Linked DNA regions of Danio rerio. The protein of the gene in region 2 interacts with the protein of the main gene of each other region in a biochemical or structural test. Links are inferred from orthologs where the notes say so. Each region holds a gene or a part of one and is shown on either strand. Other genes may lie near its edges.

Evidence for each region. The genes of interacting proteins can lie anywhere in the genome.
Region 1: the proteins of lrrk2 (region 2) and stub1 form a complex in vitro, tested with the Homo sapiens proteins (3 studies listed by BioGRID and IntAct, with this or other methods). The link is inferred for Danio rerio from reciprocal best matches to the Homo sapiens genes LRRK2 and STUB1.
Region 3: the proteins of lrrk2 (region 2) and nek1 interact on a protein array, tested with the Homo sapiens proteins (2 studies listed by BioGRID and IntAct, with this or other methods). The link is inferred for Danio rerio from reciprocal best matches to the Homo sapiens genes LRRK2 and NEK1.

The regions. Positions count from the first base shown.
Region 1 is NC_133199.1:43,370,619-43,377,326, reverse strand, and holds the start of stub1 (E3 ubiquitin-protein ligase CHIP), read right to left. Parts: upstream 4,014-6,708; 5' UTR 3,768-4,013; intron 812-3,767; 5' UTR 714-811; coding exon 591-713; intron 1-590. UniProt on the Homo sapiens protein: E3 ubiquitin-protein ligase which targets misfolded chaperone substrates towards proteasomal degradation.
Region 2 is NC_133200.1:38,208,228-38,214,373, forward strand, and holds part of lrrk2 (leucine-rich repeat serine/threonine-protein kinase 2), read right to left. Parts: intron 3,209-6,146; coding exon 3,123-3,208; intron 3,037-3,122; coding exon 2,849-3,036; intron 1,568-2,848; coding exon 1,413-1,567; intron 1,065-1,412; coding exon 918-1,064; intron 1-917. UniProt on the Homo sapiens protein: Serine/threonine-protein kinase which phosphorylates a broad range of proteins involved in multiple processes such as neuronal plasticity, innate immunity, autophagy, and vesicle trafficking.
Region 3 is NC_133195.1:26,281,028-26,287,824, reverse strand, and holds the start of nek1 (serine/threonine-protein kinase Nek1), read right to left. Parts: upstream 4,014-6,797; 5' UTR 3,964-4,013; intron 1,630-3,963; 5' UTR 1,607-1,629; coding exon 1,490-1,606; intron 1,342-1,489; coding exon 1,245-1,341; intron 1-1,244. Other genes in the region: uncharacterized protein si:ch211-191d2.2, read right to left, coding at 6,693-6,797. UniProt on the Homo sapiens protein: Phosphorylates serines and threonines, but also appears to possess tyrosine kinase activity. Involved in DNA damage checkpoint control and for proper DNA damage repair.

The DNA of each region.
Region 1 (6,708 bases), on a different chromosome or scaffold from region 2:
TTTATACAATAATTAACTTCTGAATTTATTTACAGTTGAGGGCAGATTTCTTCACCCTCTGGTGAATTATTTTTCCTTTTTTAATTATTTGCCAATGATGTTGAACAGATTCAGGAATTTTTCACAGTATTTTATTTGTTTTATTTTGGCTAGAATAAAAGCATTTAATAATTGTTTTAAACCATTTAATAGTCAATATTATTAGCCCCCCTATGCAATGTTAGTTTGGATTGTCTCCAGAACAAACCACTGTTATATTATGACTTGCCTAATGACCCTAACTTCACCCTAATTAACCTAGTAAAGCCTTTAAATGTCACTTTAAGCTGAATACTAGTGTCTTCAAGAATATCTAGTCTAATATTATGTGCTGTCATCATGGCAAAGAGAAAATAAATCAGTTATTAGAAAGGAGTTATTATAAATATTATGTTTAGAAATGTGTCCTTTAAACAGAAATTGGGGAAAAACTATTTACCAGAAGGTTTAATAATTCTGAACTTTCTGTGAGTCTGAATTTCTCCTAAACCCCCCGCTGTTGAAACTGACACACATATTTACTCTGTGTGTTCCCAGCACCCCTCACTCACGATGGCTTTGCTGTAGCAGGTGACGGCCTCCTGGTACTTGCGGCTGAGGAACAGGCGGTTTCCCTGCTCCTTCAGCTCCTGTGCGGATGAGCTTTTCTCTGGGCTGCTCGCCATCTTCTCCATGGGCTCTGCGGTGGCCGCTCCCCCCTGCTTCCCAATCCTGTTCCCCGTCTCTTCGGTGAGCACCGGCCGGTCCCGGGGAGCCAGTTACCTGCAAACCTCTCAGAAACACACAAGGAAAATATGAGCCACAGTAATGCAGGTGCAAAATCATAACAATATTCTTATGGGGTCAATTTTATTAGCCACCATAAGAATATACATTCAAAACAGTTTGTTAGAAACAATGATATGCTTTGCGTGTTTGTTTTTATGTTTATATAAGTGCTATTTTCATTTATAGCTCTTGATTTTTGCATTGATTTTTAATATCTCTTGTTTAAATACACTATGAACAGCAGCTACGCTAATTATTTTCTTTATTTTCTATTTCCACCTGGGGATACTCATCCCGAGGCCTCTAGAGATTGTGCAGCGCCATTGATGTGATCCAAGACCTGTGAAGAAATGATGCCAACCGCAGAGCACTTCTAGAGGTCTCCATAATCCTGGACCAGGCCGTATCCTGAGCAGATATCAGGGCCGGAGTGGGACTCATTTTCAGCCCTGGAGTTTCAAGCCAGACCAGCCCACCTCGACTGATTACATTAAAATAAGGTCATTTCCAATTCAGTTTCTAATGACACTATCACATCTTTTTTGAGAAAACAGCTGCTTTAGAAATTCAAATGTTCAACAACCCTTACAGTATTATGTCATAAAAACGAAAAATAATAATAATAATTTTTCAGGTGAGATTCGAACATGGGTCGGAAGTTTCGCAACGCAACGTGCTTTCCACTGGACCACAATGGCGCTATTCCAGTGGGAATAAAAAATAAAGATTACACTGTGAACGGCAAGACATAGTATTACTTTGATGGCTAAATCATTTTCTCCTTTTAGATTTCTGATCAAGTTTTGTCAGATTTAATGTAGTAAATCATCTGATTTTCATTGAGCAGGTGTATTATTCATTAATATTAATTATTCAAATTCTTATAATCACTAAGGTGCCACTGTTTGGGGTCGAATGATTAGTTACATCATCATTAACGTTAGTAAACCTGCAGGCTGCATTTTGCTCACGGAGCAGCAAGAAAAAAAATAAATAAAAAGAGCGGCGCTGCGGCAAAATAATGAAAAACAAAAAAAAAGAGTGAGGCTATGGTCAAATTAATAAATAAATAAATGAAAAAAGTGTGACTGCTGAGAGTGCAAGCAGCTAGGGACACTGGCCCTCACGGCCAAAAAACGGACCGACCCACCAGGAATTCTCTCGGTTCGCCAATCCGGGCCTGGCAGATATTGTGGTTGTCATGGAGGAGCTGAGAGCATAAGACTGATGCCTGAATCACCCCAGTGACAAACAAGTCCTCACATTTATCAAGTGGGCCAGCCTGAACACACGCCGGTGACCTACTCACACTTGCATCTTCTCCACGATGGACATCCAGCGTTCTCCAGCCTCCGGCGCCTAGACTGCTTTTCTGCAGTTTGGTCAGAGGAGAAATGGTCGTGCCCAACAGAGCCGGTTTCTCTCCAGGTTTTTTCCTTCACTTCAATCACGTCAATTGGTGAAGATTGTTCCTTCGCTGTTGCCACTGGCTTGCTTGGTTTGGGAATTGTGGAGCTGCGCATCGATGGATTTGCTCTTCAGTGTTTGAACTCTCAGTATTGAATATTAAACCACACTGAACTAATCTAAACTGAACTCCAACTCTGAAAACTGGACTGACAGTTTACACTATCACTATATCACTATAATCTTCTATGTTAAGCTGCTTTAACACAATCTGCATTGTAAAAGCGCTACAGAAATCAAGATATTTTTCAATTAGCTACAGAACAAACCATCATTATACAATGACTTGCCTAGTTAACATAATTAAGCCTTTAAATGCTGAATACAAGTATCTTGCAAAAACTTGCACGACCCTCAATTGGTACTAATGGACCCAAAGTGTGCTAAAAAAATCTCCCCCACACCAATACACCACCACCACCAGCTTAAACCGCTGACACAAGGAAGGATGGATTCATGCTTTTATGCTGTTGACGTCAAATTCTGACCCGAGCATCTGAATGTGTCAGCAGAAATGGAGACTCATCAGAGCAGGCAACGTTTCTCCAATCTTCTATTGTCCAGTTTTGGTGAGTCTGTGTGAATTGTAGCCTCAGTTTCCTGTTCTTAGCTGACAGGAGCGGCACCCGGTGTGCTCTTCTGCTGCTGTAGCCCATCCGCCTCAAGGTTGGACGTGTTGTGTGTTCAGAGATGCTCTTCTGCAGACCTTGGTTGTAACGAGTGCTTATTTGAGTTTCTGTTGCCTTTCTATCAGCTGGAACCAGTCTGGCCATTCTCCTCTGACCTCTGGCATCAACAAGGCATTTGTGCTCACAGAACTGCCGCTCACTGGATATTTCCACTTTGTCGGAGAATTCTCTGTAAACCCTAGAAATGGTTGTGCGTGAAAATCCCAGTAGATCAGCAGTTTCTGAAATACTTAGACCAGCATGTCTGTTATCAACATCCATGCCACGTTCAAAGTCACTCAAATCCCCTTACTTCCTCATTCTGATGCTCGGTTTGACCTGCAGCAGATCGTCTTGACCATGTCTACATGCCTAAATGCATTAAGCTCCTGTCGGTGAGTGTATACTCTACATTTTTCTGATTTTGATTGAAATGTATTAACGTGCACCTTTTGTAGAGCTGCTGTTCATATAGTAGAAATGATTAAAATGAATTGTTTAATGTACATCACACACACACACACACACATCTGGACAACAGTAACACACATCTGGACACTGACAGTTGTGTGAAATCATTCATGACTCTTTATGCAGCTCTGTGAACTTAAAACACACACAATCCAACAGTTAATCACTAAAATTAAGCACTACCAACGAGTAAATGTAATTTCACGTCGATCAGAAATTAAACTCCTGTGCCTGACACATAAGCACATTCACACACACTTTACAAGCTAACAACCAGGTCAGCGCTGAGAATAAACACGCTTAGAGATTAAATCAGATGGTTTGAATATGAAATATGGATTATTTGAGGCGTACCGGGTTTGACTGCTGGACTGACGCCTGTCGTTAGCAAACCGGTAGCGACACTGGTGCTTTGATGATCACTTTTGGATCCCTGATAGCGAATGAAACGCGGCCAAACTCATATTCCGACTCGATCATGACATTAAGATGACAAATGTCCGACGTTTTCATCGGCGATCCTCAAAAACACGACATTTTACCCGCGGGTGTGAGACGCTAGCATCATGTTTCGGTTGTTTTGACTCTGCCGTCACTGTGACGTCGCCGGAGGTGACGATCGGAAGCTCGTTGCCAACGTAATAACGCCACCTGTCGGCGACGTGCAGGAGTTTAATTTCATAATAATAATAATTAGATAAAATATATAAATAAATATGAAAACAGTTATAATAATAATGCTTGATTATTATCATTATTTATTCTACATTTTACACGTTTTTTTCCGGTTACACATTTTAAAAAGTGTTCTAGAAAAGCATGTAATAAAAATATAAATAACTGACTTAATTTCTACTTCAGCATATAATTTTGAGCTTTCTAATGACTTTTAATTCTTATGACTTTAATACCTTATTTATAATTTTGACCTTTAAGTAACAGAGTAAGCCATAATTGCTCATTTTTTATTAAGAATTACAAAAAAAGTCTTAATTTCTTCTTTAAATATTTTTTTTCATGTAGTTATAGAATTTAGCTATATAATTTAATATAAAAATACATCAAATGTCTTTAATTCTCCTGTAAAAATGTGCATTTTGTATTTAATTTTTGTTTAGAGACATTTTAGAGTCACCCTAAAAAGCTGCATCATATTTTAGGTGCAAAACAATGAGTTTGCTAAAATGATGTGAATAATTTAATAATAAACATACTCAAATTCAGATTGCAATATAATTTCTTGCTGAACACCAAACACATTCAGAAAAATAATATATTAACATTAAAGAACAGTAAAAGAGTCACCAAACACCATTTCAGTTCATAAACCATATAATGCACTTAAATGAGGACAACATGAACAGTCGACAAGTAAGACAAGTAGAAAAAATACATGAATCAAAATGTGAATAATTATGATGATAATATATAATTCATTAGTGTTATCATCATTTTTACTCTACATTTTAGTTTTTTTGTGATTATTAATTTTAAAACTTTAAAAATGTTCAAGATAATGTGCTTTCTTATCACTTCTAATTTTGATTTAGGTATAACATTTCTTTTTTTTAATACCCTATTTATAATTTTGACCTTTAAATAACTCAGAGTAAGCCATAATTGCTCATTTTAATTAACATTTATGAAGAATGCCGTCATTTCTTCTTTAAATTTTTTTTTCATGTAATTACATAATTTAGTCATAGACTTTATTATAAAAATAAGTCAAATGTCTCTAATTCTTCTGTAAAAATGTGAATTTTGTATTCAGTTTTTGTTTAGAGATATTTTAAAGTCCCCCCAAAATAGCTGCATCATATTTTAGGTGCAAAACAATGAGTTTGCTGAAAATGATGTGAATAATAATAAATGTACTCAAATTCATGTTGTAATGTTATTTCCTGCTGAACACCAAACACATTCAGATAAATAATATATTAACATTAAGAAACAGTAAAAGAGCCCTCATTCACCAAACACCATTTCAGTTCATAAACCATATAATGCACTTTAATGAGGACAACATGAACAGTCGACAAGTAGAAAAGTATATGTAAACAAATGTGAATAATTATAATACATAATTCATTAGTTTTATCATTAATTACTCTACATTTGCAGTTTCTTTGTGATGATTAATTTAATAACTAAAAATGTTCAAGATATTGTGCAATGATTTAATTTCTACTTAAGCTAATCGTACTTTTGAGTTTTTGTATGATTTTAAGTATGACATTTCTATTTTTTACCTTTTAATTTGACCTTTAAATAACTCATAAGACTTAATTGCTCATTTTTAAATTAATAATTACAAAAAATGCCATAATTTCTTCCTTTAACATTATTTTTTTTATGTAACTACATAATTTAGCCATGGACAGTAATATAAAAATACATCAAATGTCTCTAATTCTCCTAGAAAAACGTGAAATTTAGTCTTTCTCATATGTACAATTACACAAAACTTCCAAAATCAGCCTGAATTTTGTTTTTAGTTTCATGAAGAATAAAAAAAAGTTCGTTTTTTGCATCATATTGTAGGTGCAAAAAAAAAAAACATGTGAATTTTTTCTAAATGCAATTAAATTCATTTATTAATTTTCATTCGCTTTTTCAGGGTCAGCAGTCTTAGGACAGAACCCCAGACACTTCCTCCAGCTCCACCGGAGGATCCTGAGGCACTCTCAGCCCAGCAGAGACACATAGTTCCTCCAGCGTGTCCCCCAAGGTCTCCTCCCCGTGGGACATGCCTGGAACACCTCTCTAGGTAGGCATCCGAAACAGGTGCCCGAGCCACCTCAGCCGACTTCTCTGGATGTGGAAGAGCAGCGGCTCTACTCCGAGCTCCTCACCCCGTCTATGAGGATGCGCCCTGCCACCCTGTGAAGAAGACTCATTTCGGCCACTTGTATCCAAGATCTTGTTCTTTCAGTCATCACCCAAAGCTCATGACCATAGCTGAGAGCAGGATTGTAGATTCATCGGTAAATCGAGAGCTTTGCCTTTTGGCTCAGCTCCTTCTTCACCACAACCGGCCAACACATTGACCGCATTACAGCTGCACCAATCCTCCTGTCAATCTCACACTCCATCCTTCCCTCACTCCTGAACAAAACCCTGAGATACTTGAACTCCTCCACCAGGGGTAAGGACTTTCCTCCATCCTCGAGATGGAATCAAACTCATGTTGCAATATGTCATTTCTATATTAATACCAAACAGATTCAGGTAAATGACACACCTTTCACAACAGCAAGAGCCCCCATTCACAACAAACACCACTTCAATTCATAAA
Region 2 (6,146 bases):
TACCGCAACAATCATATTTCTATCAATGACTGAAACGCACCACTATCACCACCATCTCTATCATTTCCGCAACCCAAATCATATTACCATCAACGATTAAAATGCATTACTATATCCAGTTCAACACCATGAATATCATTACCACAACTCCAATAATATTACTATCAATTAATAAAATGCATTACTACCAACATCTTCTACATCATTACCACTACAAACCCTACTCCCCCCAACTCCATTACCTCAATAACAATCGTCATTACTATCAATGAATCAAATGCATCACTATCACCACCAAAAAAGTAATCATCATTACCATTAATGAATCGCTATCATCAGCATCTCCATCATTACCGCAACCACAATAAGCATTACTATCAATGAATTAAATGAATCACTATTATCACCATCATTACCAAAACAACCATTATTTATATCAATGAATCAAATACATCACTATCATTACCACAACAAGCATTAATATCAGTGAATCTAATGCATCACCATCCCCACACATATCTATCATTACCGCAACCACAATAAGCATTACTATCAATTGATAAAATGTATCACTATTATATGCAACATTACCAAAACAGCAATTATCACCATCTATGAATTAAACTAATCACTATCATCACCATCTCAATCATTACCAAAACATTTCTCATTACTATCAATGAATCAAATGCATCACAACCCCCACCATCTCCATCATTAATGACCACAACATCAGTATTATTGTTGCCATGACATTCAATGATCATCAACAGCTCAACTCTTCATAAAAACCATAGCCATCATTTTTGCATCCTATCATTACCATCACAACCACAACTTTTAAAATTGTAGCCATCATTGCAATAACCAAAGTGTTTAAGATAGTCCAAACACTGCAAAACAAGTTTCTCTTTTACCTTTGCGAGAGCATGGAACGGTGATCTTGATGAAACTAGCTGGGTTTTCTTCTAAAGTCAAAGCCTCAACCAGACAGTAAGCTTCAGCAGACCAGCTCAAATAGATGCCCTTCCTCCAGTAGATCCGGTTTGGTTTTAATGCTTTTTCTATAGAGAAAAAAAAAAAAAAAAAAAAAAAAAAACACGTTACAAATCTTAATTCTTATTTAATTTTCCAGGCTTTAAGTGCTTTAATTTTGTTCTCGGAGCAACTAACAACCTACAAAACATAAAAAATGACAACCAATATCCTTGTTTTGGTAAGTCTACTTTCACATATGCAGTCAGATCAATGTAGGTTTGAAAAGACGAGTTATTATGGTTACCTTTTTTTTACGCTTCTGAAAAACAGCAGCTCATTTGCAATGTCACCTTTAATGTGTGCATAACTTTGGAATGGGTAGTTCAATGTTATAGGAAACTTTATGGTGATTTCCAGCATTTGTGTTGTATTACCTCTGCCATAGAGCAGGAATGCAGACACTTCCAGCAGACGGCTGATCTGTCTGGGCCAGTAGCCCATCGGAAAATATGGCATCTCATATAGTCGAATGATCACTTCTGAATTCTCACAGTGAGGAAGCTCAATCACTGGCCTGTGGTCTGACAGACTGTGAAGAAAAACAACAATATTAGCGCACATGTGTTCAATTTAAAGGGATCATGACTTACATTTTTGTACTGTTCAACTGTTATGCTGTGTTCACACCAGACGCGGAACCCGCGGATAAATCGCGGTATTCGCACGTAAATTGCCGCGTGAACATTTAAAGTCACTCGCTTCATTCGCGCGTCAAATTCCCTTCAGAACAGACGCGGATTCGCGTGATGGGCAGGGCTTCTGTCTGCCCAGTGACTGTAGCGTCGTTGCTAAAATGGCTAACATGGATTTTATGAAGAAAAAAAAAAACATTGTTTATGTACTTTATGAAGGCTGAAAACAGCGTCAATACGTTTAGGACAGTGTCTGAGTCCACTACATGCTTTCAGAGGTGCATCCAGCTCTGTGAGCTCAAAAACTCCTCCAGAAACTGAACCTGGATCACGGAGTCTTTCAACGGTGCTTCTGACTGAGCCAAGCCCAGTTTGATGACTTGTCGGTGTCGCCTGGAGGATTTCACCCAGGACACCATCAACAGGTTCTACGTCACAATCACGCCCCCACAAGAGCAAGCTTCTGATTGGTTAACGCGGCGCGAATGTCCGCTGAAGTTCAGATTTTCGAACTCGATTGATTTGCGCGAAACGCGCGTTAAGCGCATAACATGCGCAAACGCTCAATTCGCCCCGCGCCATTCGCGCATATCACGCTATTCCCACTGCGCCATTCATGCAATTTGCGTCATTCGCGTTGCGCGCCACAGGATGTCTATACGCGTGTTAGCATCGACTTAAGATGTATCACTCGCGCTTGACGCGCGTTCTGCGTCTGGTATGAACGCAGCATTACACTTATAATATTAAGTGTAAAATTATAACATTATAAATGTGCAGTTATATATTATAATTGTCCATTTTCTGTCCTGTTTTTGACCTCAATCAAAATCCTGTTTGAATGGGCGTGGCAGATTGTAGACTCAGAAGTAAACACCCACTGTTCTGATTGGCTTACAGTTCTGCTTATTACCAGAGCCATACAAACAGTGAAAAAAAGTAGATGTCAATCTTCAGTGGAGGTGGGGTTTATCCAACCTATTACATCATAGAGTAGAACATTCCAGAACCTGTTGTTTTAGCAGACTGCCTTTAATATAAGCTCATTTTAGAGCAACCACAAAGTTGAGCTTTAAAACTTTTAAGATGTTTTTATAGTAGTATAAGCTCCTAATGTTAAAAGATCAGGGGAATTTGGGTTTCTATGTTCATGACCCCTTTAATACAAAAAGCATTACCTGCTAGGAATGAGTAGCTGGTCATGGTCAAATGGCAGGGCTATCTGAAACTTCTCCAACAGTTTGAAGTATTGAATCATGTGATCCTTTGGGAAACAGCGGCTTTTCTCCACAAATTTCTCCACGGTGGAGCGCTGCACCACTCCTTTCGTGCTGTCCCATGGACCGCTGCTTTTCAGAGACAGCGTCTGTCAGTTAACACAACGAAAAAAGATGTTACAGATCTTTCGCAGTTGTTGAACAGAGGAGCTAGATGTGTTTTAGCATGTATAACCTGTGAGATGATCCTACAAAACCACTGTAGGTCAATGAAGTACAGATCCTTCAGCTGAAGAACTGGATCAAAGTGCAGCAAGACACCTGGAGATAAGTCACAGAGGGTCTGTTAATATTTTTCAGTCTCTTAAAAAGGAAATGTAGCATAGCATTACTACTAAAAATAAGCATTCATCAGCTGATACGACTGGTAATATTACTACTAAAAATAAGCATTTATCAGCCGATACTGATATGACAGGTAATATTACTACTAAAAATAAGCATTCATCAACCGATACTGATGACAGATAATATTACTACTAAAATAAGCATTAAGCCAATACCGATATGACAGGTAATATTACTACTAAAATAAGCATTTATCAGTTGATACCGATATAACAGATAATATTACTACTAAAAATAAGCATTTATCAGCCAATACCGATATGACTGGTAATATTACTACTAAAAATAAGCATTTATCAGCCGATACTGATATGACTGGTAATATTACTACTAAAAATAAGCATTTATCAGCCGATACCGATATAACAGATAATATTACTACTAAAAATAAGCATTTAATCAGCCGATACTGATATGACAGGTAATATTACTACTAAAAATAAGCATTTATCAGCCGATACCGATATGACAGAATATCACTATTAAAATGAAGCATTTTTCAGCCGATACCAATATGACTGGTAATATTACTACTAAAAATAAGCATTCATCAGCCATGCCGATATAACAGATAATATTACTACTAAAAGCATTTAATCAGCCGATACTGATATGACAGGTAATATTACTACTAAAAATAAGCATTTATCAGCCGATACTGATGACAGATAATATTACTACTAAAATAAGCATTAAGCCAATACCGATATGACAGGTAATATTACTACTAAAATAAGCATTTATCAGTCGATACCGATATAACAGATAATATTACTACTAAAAATAAGCATTTATCAGCCGATACCGATATGACTGGTAATATTACAACTAAAAATAAACATTTATTAGCCGATACCGATATGACAGGTAATATTACTACTAAAATAAGCATTTATCAGTCGATACCGATATAACAGATAATATTACTACTAAAAATAAGCATTTATCAGCCGATACCGATATGACTGGTAATATTACTACTAAAAATAAGCATTCATCAGCCGATACCGATATGACAGAATATCACTATTAAAATGAAGCATTTTTCAGCCGATACCAATATGACTGGTAATATTACTACTAAAATAAGCATTTATCAGCCGATACCGATATAACAGATAATATTACTACTAAAAATAAGCATTTATCAGCCGATACCGATATGACTGGTAATATTACTACTAAAAATAAGCATTCATCAGCCGATACCGATATGACAGAATATCACTATTAAAATGAAGCATTTTTCAGCCGATACCAATATGACTGGTAATATTACTACTAAAAATAAGCATTCATCAGCCATGCCGATATAACAGATAATATTACTACTAAAAATAAGCATTTAATCAGCCGATACTGATATGACAGGTAATATTACTACTAAAAATAAGCATTTATCAGCCGATACCGATATGACAGAATATCACTATTAAAATGAAGCATTTTTCAGCCGATACCAATATGACTGGTAATATTACTACTAAAAATAAGCATTCATCAGCCATGCCGATATAACAGATAATATTACTACTAAAAGCATTTAATCAGCCGATACTGATATGACAGGTAATATTACTACTAAAAATAAGCATTTATCAGCCGATACTGATGACAGATAATATTACTACTAAAATAAGCATTAAGCCAATACCGATATGACAGGTAATATTACTACTAAAATAAGCATTTATCAGTCGATACCGATATAACAGATAATATTACTACTAAAAATAAGCATTTATCAGCCGATACCGATATGACTGGTAATATTACAACTAAAAATAAACATTTATTAGCCGATACCGATATGACAGGTAATATTACTACTAAAATAAGCATTTATCAGTCGATACCGATATAACAGATAATATTACTACTAAAAATAAGCATTTATCAGCCGATACCGATATGACTGGTAATATTACTACTAAAAATAAGCATTCATCAGCCGATACCGATATGACAGAATATCACTATTAAAATGAAGCATTTTTCAGCCGATACCAATATGACTGGTAATATTACTACTAAAATAAGCATTTATCAGCCGATACCGATATAACAGATAATATTACTACTAAAAATAAGCATTTATCAGCCGATACCGATATGACTGGTAATATTACTACTAAAAATAAGCATTCATCAGCCGATACCGATATGACAGAATATCACTATTAAAATGAAGCATTTTTCAGCCGATACCAATATGACTGGTAATATTACTACTAAAAATAAGCATTCATCAGCCATGCCGATATAACAGATAATATTACTACTAAAAATAAGCATTTAATCAGCCGATACTGATATGACAGGTAATATTACTACTAAAAATAAGCATTTATCAGCCGATACTGATGACAGATAATATTACTACTAAAATAAGCATTAAGCCAATACCGATATGACAGGTAATATTACTACTAAAAATAAGCATTTATCAGCCGATACTGATGACAGATAATATTACTACTAAAATAAGCATTAAGCCAATACCGATATGACAGGTAATATTACTACTAAAATAAGCATTTATCAGTCGATACCGATATAACAGATAATATTACTACTAAAAATAAGCATTTATCAGCCGATACCGATATGACTGGTAATATTACAACTAAAAATAAACATTTATTAGCCGATACCGATATGACAGATAACATCACCATTAATCAGCCGATACCGATATGACTGGTAATATTACTACTAAAAATAAGCATTCATCAGCCGATACTGATATAACAGATAATATTACTACTAAAATAAGCATTTATCAGCCGATACCGATATAACAGATAATATTACTACTAAAAATAAGCATTTATTAGCCGATACCGATATA
Region 3 (6,797 bases), on a different chromosome or scaffold from region 2:
TATAACTAGAGAAATCTCCACTGTGCGCTGCTGAGTGAGAGCGCTTCTAACTGAACAGCGCAGCAGCGATGACGTAAGCGTGCCCGATTGTGGTGTGAGTGCGGGCCGTCGGAGGAGACGGGAGGGGGGACAAGCGTACTTTGGCCCGGTTCGAGGCAACTGTACCTAGTGTGAGTACGGCCTAAGCCCCCAACTGCGGGAATCAGCTTCCAGATATTATCAGAGGTGCTCCAACATCAGGTAAATACAAATCAAGGTTTAAAACACATCCGTTTAGCTGTGCCTTTAATGAATGAGCACTGAGCTATGTCCAACAGAGCACAGTATTATGTCTTCTTTTCTTTTTCATTCTTTTCTAATCAGTTAACACATTTTAATCAGTTTTTATCTTTTAATAATTTTTAATCATTTTAATCATTTTAATTTTCATGTTTCTGTTATTCTTGTTTATGTAAAGCACTTTGATTAACAATGTGTATGAAAAACACCTCTTTTAGAAGAAAATTTCAAAAGATGGTACTTTGAGGTTTTTGAATCAGAACTCTCCATACTCTATATACTGTCAAGCCTAAAATTATTTCTACCTCTGGCAAATTTTGTTTTTGTTCAAATTTAAATAAAAAGCTAAGAAATATAATTTTTGGGAGAAGCTGGCATCATTTTCGGTCAAAAAAAACAATAGACAGAATTTTCCAGGGGTATGAATAATTTCGGGCTTGGCTGTATATTTCATATATGTAATGCTTTCATAATTTGATCATTTTTAAGAGTGTTTTCAACAAACCAATGTAGACCTCTAACAATCAGATTTTACAATGTAATAAAATAAACATATTGCTCTCCATTGTTTATAGCATTAACATTTATACACTGCCACAGATTTATGTCATTAATTAGCCAGCCATCCGGATGTCAAGAGATACTGCACAGCTCCATAAAGAAAACTATCATTAGCACAACAACATCCTCCCTGTAATTTAATTCAAGAGCTTTGAGCTCCACGAGATTCTGCCGGCCACCCCAATCTATCAATCTGACACGAGCCTTTAAAACAGAAATGCACTGGCTATAGTTTGTGCCGGAACTAATGTTCTTAGATTAATCAAAAACAGTCAACTAAAACCCAAACACAGAATGCTCATTCCTCTTGTCATGCATATTGACTTAATATGGCTGCATGCAATGAAAAATAATTTAATACCAGTTTCTTAATATGGATGTCTTAGTGTATTAAAAGGCTTTACCTTCAAAGGATTCCTTGTATTGGACAATGTTTGGATGGCTCATGTTAGCCAGAACTGCCACCTCTTTACGTGATTCCTGTCGTTCCTTGTTCGACATCTGATGAAAAAAAAAACAGTGCATGAATATGTATACATTTAGATAGCACCCTCAGCATATCACATTTTGTCTGGCTGAAATCTTAAATGAATAAAATACCTATTAGCATTTCTGAGAGATGTCTAAAAGATGAAAGTGATGGACTCACCCTGGAGATACCAATCTCCTTGATAACATATTGTCGGCCATCTGTCCTTGACTTGACCAAGATAGCTTTCCCAAAGGATCCCTCCCCAATCTTCTTTAACCTCTCATATTTATCCATGTCTGTGCAAATGACTTCTCATACTATAACGGAAAGAATAGCACATGATAAAAAGGAGATTTGAATTACTTTAAACGTGGGATTGTTAATGATGCTGCACAGGCTGGTGAAACTGAAGATCTACTTGAATTTTTACACACAATCAGATCTAGTGTGAACACGGATAGTAAAACGGAAACGGAAAGTAAAGTAAAGCTAAAAATAATCAGTAAGTGGCAATTTTATGAAAGAAAATGTCAGAGGTCAGAGCGGAATTACCAGACTGGGTTAAGCAGAGAGAATCTATTAATGATTTAATTAAATCAAGAAAGAAAAACAAAACACTGTTTACGATGGACTCTGCAGAAGAGTACAAATCCAACCATAAATCAGATGAGCTACAGCAGAAGAACAGCACACTAAATCCCACTCCTCACAGCCAAAGTCATACACAATCCACTCTGGCTCACCAAATTTGGACAATAAAAGAATGGAAAAAAGGTTAAATAGTCTGATAAGTCTCAATTACTTTTGTGACATTTAATAGTAAGGCCAGATTTCAGCATTTAGAACATGAAAAAATGGATCCACCTTGTCTATTTGAAAAGAATAATTTAGACTAATCGGGATGACTCAGTAGGGAAGTGAACAAAATAAAACATGTTACAAGCATGTATAAACATTACAGGACAAAGATAAACCTGAAATAAACAAAGCTTAATGCTTTTCTAGGAAAGTATAACTCTATTCAGGTGCAAAAATTGAATAATCAAATCTAAAAAACAAACATCTTGCACTCTTCATTGTGCCAATAATTGAATTTGAATCTTTATTAAAATTCCAAAGTGTCACATTTTCTTGTGCTTTAATACTTTACACTTTCTTGAAATGCTCACAGTCACAGGACTTTAAAAACACACACATGACAAACGCTCACTCTATGGTAAAACTGCAGTGACTCCAAAAACCTAATGTGCTCTGAACTGTGGCTCGTGATATAATGCCAACTCAACATTGCACATTCTGAGATGATACTTTTGCAAATGTGTGCATTGTCATATCGATGCTGAAATTATATATTGTGCAAGCCTACTGCCTAGTATTAACAGGCCAAGTAAATGGTGTGGCACATATGAAGTAAAATCTCTGAGGAATTTTTCAAGCATCTCCAGAATCTGCCACTCACAGGATTAATAAAACTAAGGCACCTAGTTAGTTAGTTAGATAGATAGATAGATAGATAGATAGATAGATAGATAGATAGATAGATAGATAGATAGATAGATAGATAGATAGATAGATAGATAGATAGATAGATAAATAGATCGATAGATAGATAGATAGATCGATAGATAGATAGACAGATAGATAGACGGATAGATAGATAGACGGATGGATGGATGGATGGATGGATGGATGGATGGATGGATGGATGGATGGATGGATGGATGGATGGATGGATGGATGGATGGATAGATAGATAGATAGATAGATAGATAGAGGTGTGGCATATTAAAGTCACATTCAGCTGTGATTCATTCACAGTGTCAGCAGGAATTATTAAACCAACTCAAGCGGAGCACCTCCTGATGAGTGAAATGTTGATATTTATTCCATACAGAATCCAGCTGCATGCTGGGAATGACTACAACTGCCAGATGGCCAAGGTGAATTCTCAGGAGGACAGGCATTTTAGACAAAATATTGGAAAGCAAACACTAAAAATATCATGCCCAAAAGTAGCAGCCTTGCTTGAAAGCAAAAAATAAGCAGCAAAAAGCCAGACAGTGAAAGAAGGCTTATGAATTAAATATGACATGTCAGGAGGAATTACCCACCACCCTTTAAAGGGACTAAGAAAGGGGTACAAAGAGAGAATATAAAAGAAAAACACGACTGATAGAGACACACCTCAAGATAACACAAATTAGGTTAAATACATGATGAAAACTGTCGCCCAATAATAATAACAAAAGCACAAAGCGGGCTGGAAACTAAAACTTGCAAGCTGTAAAGAACAAAGCAAAACACAGAGACTTACTCAAAATAGGAGCTGACTTGCACTGTCAACCATTAACAATAAGTTATTAACAAACTAGATTTGTTATGCAATTTTATGCTGTGTGGATAAAAGCAGCAGCACATTAACGTTACAATGCAAAGTGTGTAAAGCAGCAGCTGGTGTCTAGTGAAGCGGGGCCTTGAAAGGGTCGCTGTTCAAACTAATGACAATAACACGATACTAAAAGCGTGCTAATGAAAACGAAATGGTCAGTTTCATTGACAGGGCGGAACGACGCTGACATGGACTTTAAAGTTACACTCCGCCACATATTTTTGAAGAAACACACAATTTGTTCAGCAAATTTAGTTCTTACCTTGTATATCTTATATATTCCGAATAGTCAACGAGCACTGGCAGCATCACAGCAGCTCAAATGAAGATTTTTTTCTTTTGTGGGCGGTCTCATGTGTGCAGACGGCACACGCTTACTGCTAGGAGTGATTCGATTGGTCTACGCTCAATTTGAGTTACGGCTGATAGGTTGAAAAATATGTCAGTCAAAACATACAGCTGGCAAGTTTGTCTGTCAATGTTTGGCGCAAAATACCCCCCTAGCAACCGTCACCGGTTGGTACACGGTCATGGAGCCTTTGGTCACTATCCGCTTTCATGGTCCTTAACTGAAGAGCCTTTTGAAAATGACCCCACAAAAGGATTAATGAATTCTGGTGCACAGCACTTGTAATGTTTACAAGCATTGCACGTGTTTTGTACATTTCTTATAAAAAAGTATCATGTTTATGGTGTTTATCTTATTATTTATCATTAAAAATAATTTTTAAAAATAATAAAAATAATAATAATTATTATAATTGTATCAACTTGATTTTGTGAACAGTGCATATTTCTCACTGATTACATAGAATGAATGTTCTCTATTATTATTATTATTACTATTATTAATATTTTATTATTGCATAACAAGAACAACAGCATACAAAAAATGAAGAATACAATGCTTACACTTTTTTACATCTAAAGAATAAATCAGTAGAAAAATAAATAAATAAAATTACAGGGGATATATAAATGACAAAAAAATTGCTAAGAAAATGATTTCAAAACTGCATACATCCTTATAGCTTTTTTATTTTTTGTGTCTTTTAGGGTTTCGATATAATGCTTAAGATCAATTTTAACCAAATAAATATTAAGCTTATCATTGGGCCATTTTTGTTTGTGTACATAATACTTCCCATATATTATCATTAAATTAAAAAACTAAGTTTGCTAAAAAGTTTTGTTATTATTATTGTATATCAAAAAAAAAAATCTTTACAAGAAAACTGATTTTTTATTTTTGTAAGTTTAAATACAAGATATTCAACATTAAACCAAAACATTTGGGTATATGTGCATTAAAAAAACTGGTGTTTTATCGATTCCTCCTCTAATTTACAAAAAGTGCACATAGATTCTATGTCTCTAAAAAAAAATGTAACAACTTTTCACTGGATAAATTAAATGTATTAGTTTGTTGCTTATTTAATTTTAATGGTGAGACAGTATTTACTAGGTAAGTTCCATTCTTTTTTCCACTCAATCTGTTTAAAAAAAGAATTAAAAAAAAATTTGCATTTAGGCAAAAATGTGGTTCTGCATAACTTTTTATTGCAAGTAATTAAATTTATTGTCTATAATTTTCATACCTTTTATACTTAACTGATTAGTATGTAAAATATTTGATATTTGAAATTACCAAGTAAGAGCTGAACAGGTCCACTTGGATGAATGTTGATACAAAATTTGAAAGTTTACCCGCCGTTTTCTGAGTCAGTTATTTTTCTCCAGAGCTGAAAATCTCCACTTAAACAGCGACACATGCACCAAACCTCAGCTTACGTAGTCAATAAAGGACATTCTCAAATTCACCATCTTATATGCACAATATATCTTTTTAAGGCTGAAAGTAGCCCTTATCATAACTTGCAAATTTAAGAGAAAATAAATTAAATGAAAAGGCTGTTAATATATATAACCGCTGTTTATGCAAATCACACACAGGAGGCTCATAATCATTGAACATATAATTGTTTGACTAATGACGCTTAGTTTTCATTTTAAAATCTTTATTTGAACGAGGCAACACTTTTATTTTATTTACTTTACCATGGCAAAATATCACACTTTACAATACTTTGATAGTGGATGAATAGATGTGTATTTACTGGCTGCTCAAATGACCATGTCAAACAGATTGAACCACCACTGTAATAAACATTCATTGATTTTTCTTCAGTTTAGTCCCTTTATTCATAAGGGATGGCCACAGCGAAATGAACCGACAACTTATCCAGCATTTGTTTTACTTATCCAGCATATGTTTTACATCTGCCACAAAAATATTATAAACATTCAGAACACCACACAGTCCAGAAGCTGTTTTTGGAGGAGAAAATCAGACAGCACTGTGTATCACTGTGTTTGCCGTGGCTCAGCCCCGCTTGTCACTAAAGTACGAAAGTGACTGAGACAGACAGACAGACAGTCAAACGAACCTGGGTGCGGACCTAAAGTGCTAGTGTGACAGCCCCCTTAACACTGAAAACTGGACTGACACGGTTTTAATTTACTATGATCTTCTATGTGAAGCTGCTTTGACACAATCTACATAGTAAAAGCGCTATACAAATAAAGGTGAACTAAACTGAAAAAGTGTCGAGCACGAAAGTGGAGAGCAGGGGGGGCGTTGGCGGAGAGGTGTCATGGACGAAGAACGGAAGTGAAAAGCGGAGGGTTGTCGCGGATAAAAGTGAAGATGGTTGGGGAGTCGGGACTATAGTAACAGTGAACAGGGGAGTAGGGCGGTTGAGAAGGAGGATCGTTAAAATGAGGTGCCAGATCAAATTTCAGAGGTGCTGGATCCGGAGTGTACCGGCACAATTTAAGGCCTGCTTTTACCCGTACTATAGCAGTAAATGCTGTCTTTTTTTCAAAGGATCAAAATAGGCAGAGCGGTGGAGAGTGAGGACTAGGGTTGAGAAATGCAGCCAGAAACACTCAGTGCTCAATTCTCCATCATACGCTGATCTGCTCATCCACTCATTCTCCTCCATGTTTCTTCTGGTGGCTCAGAAAACTTCCTAAATACGCAAACCTCTCTCCGCAGATGGAGCAGCGGTACGGTTTCTCTCCAGTATGAACCCT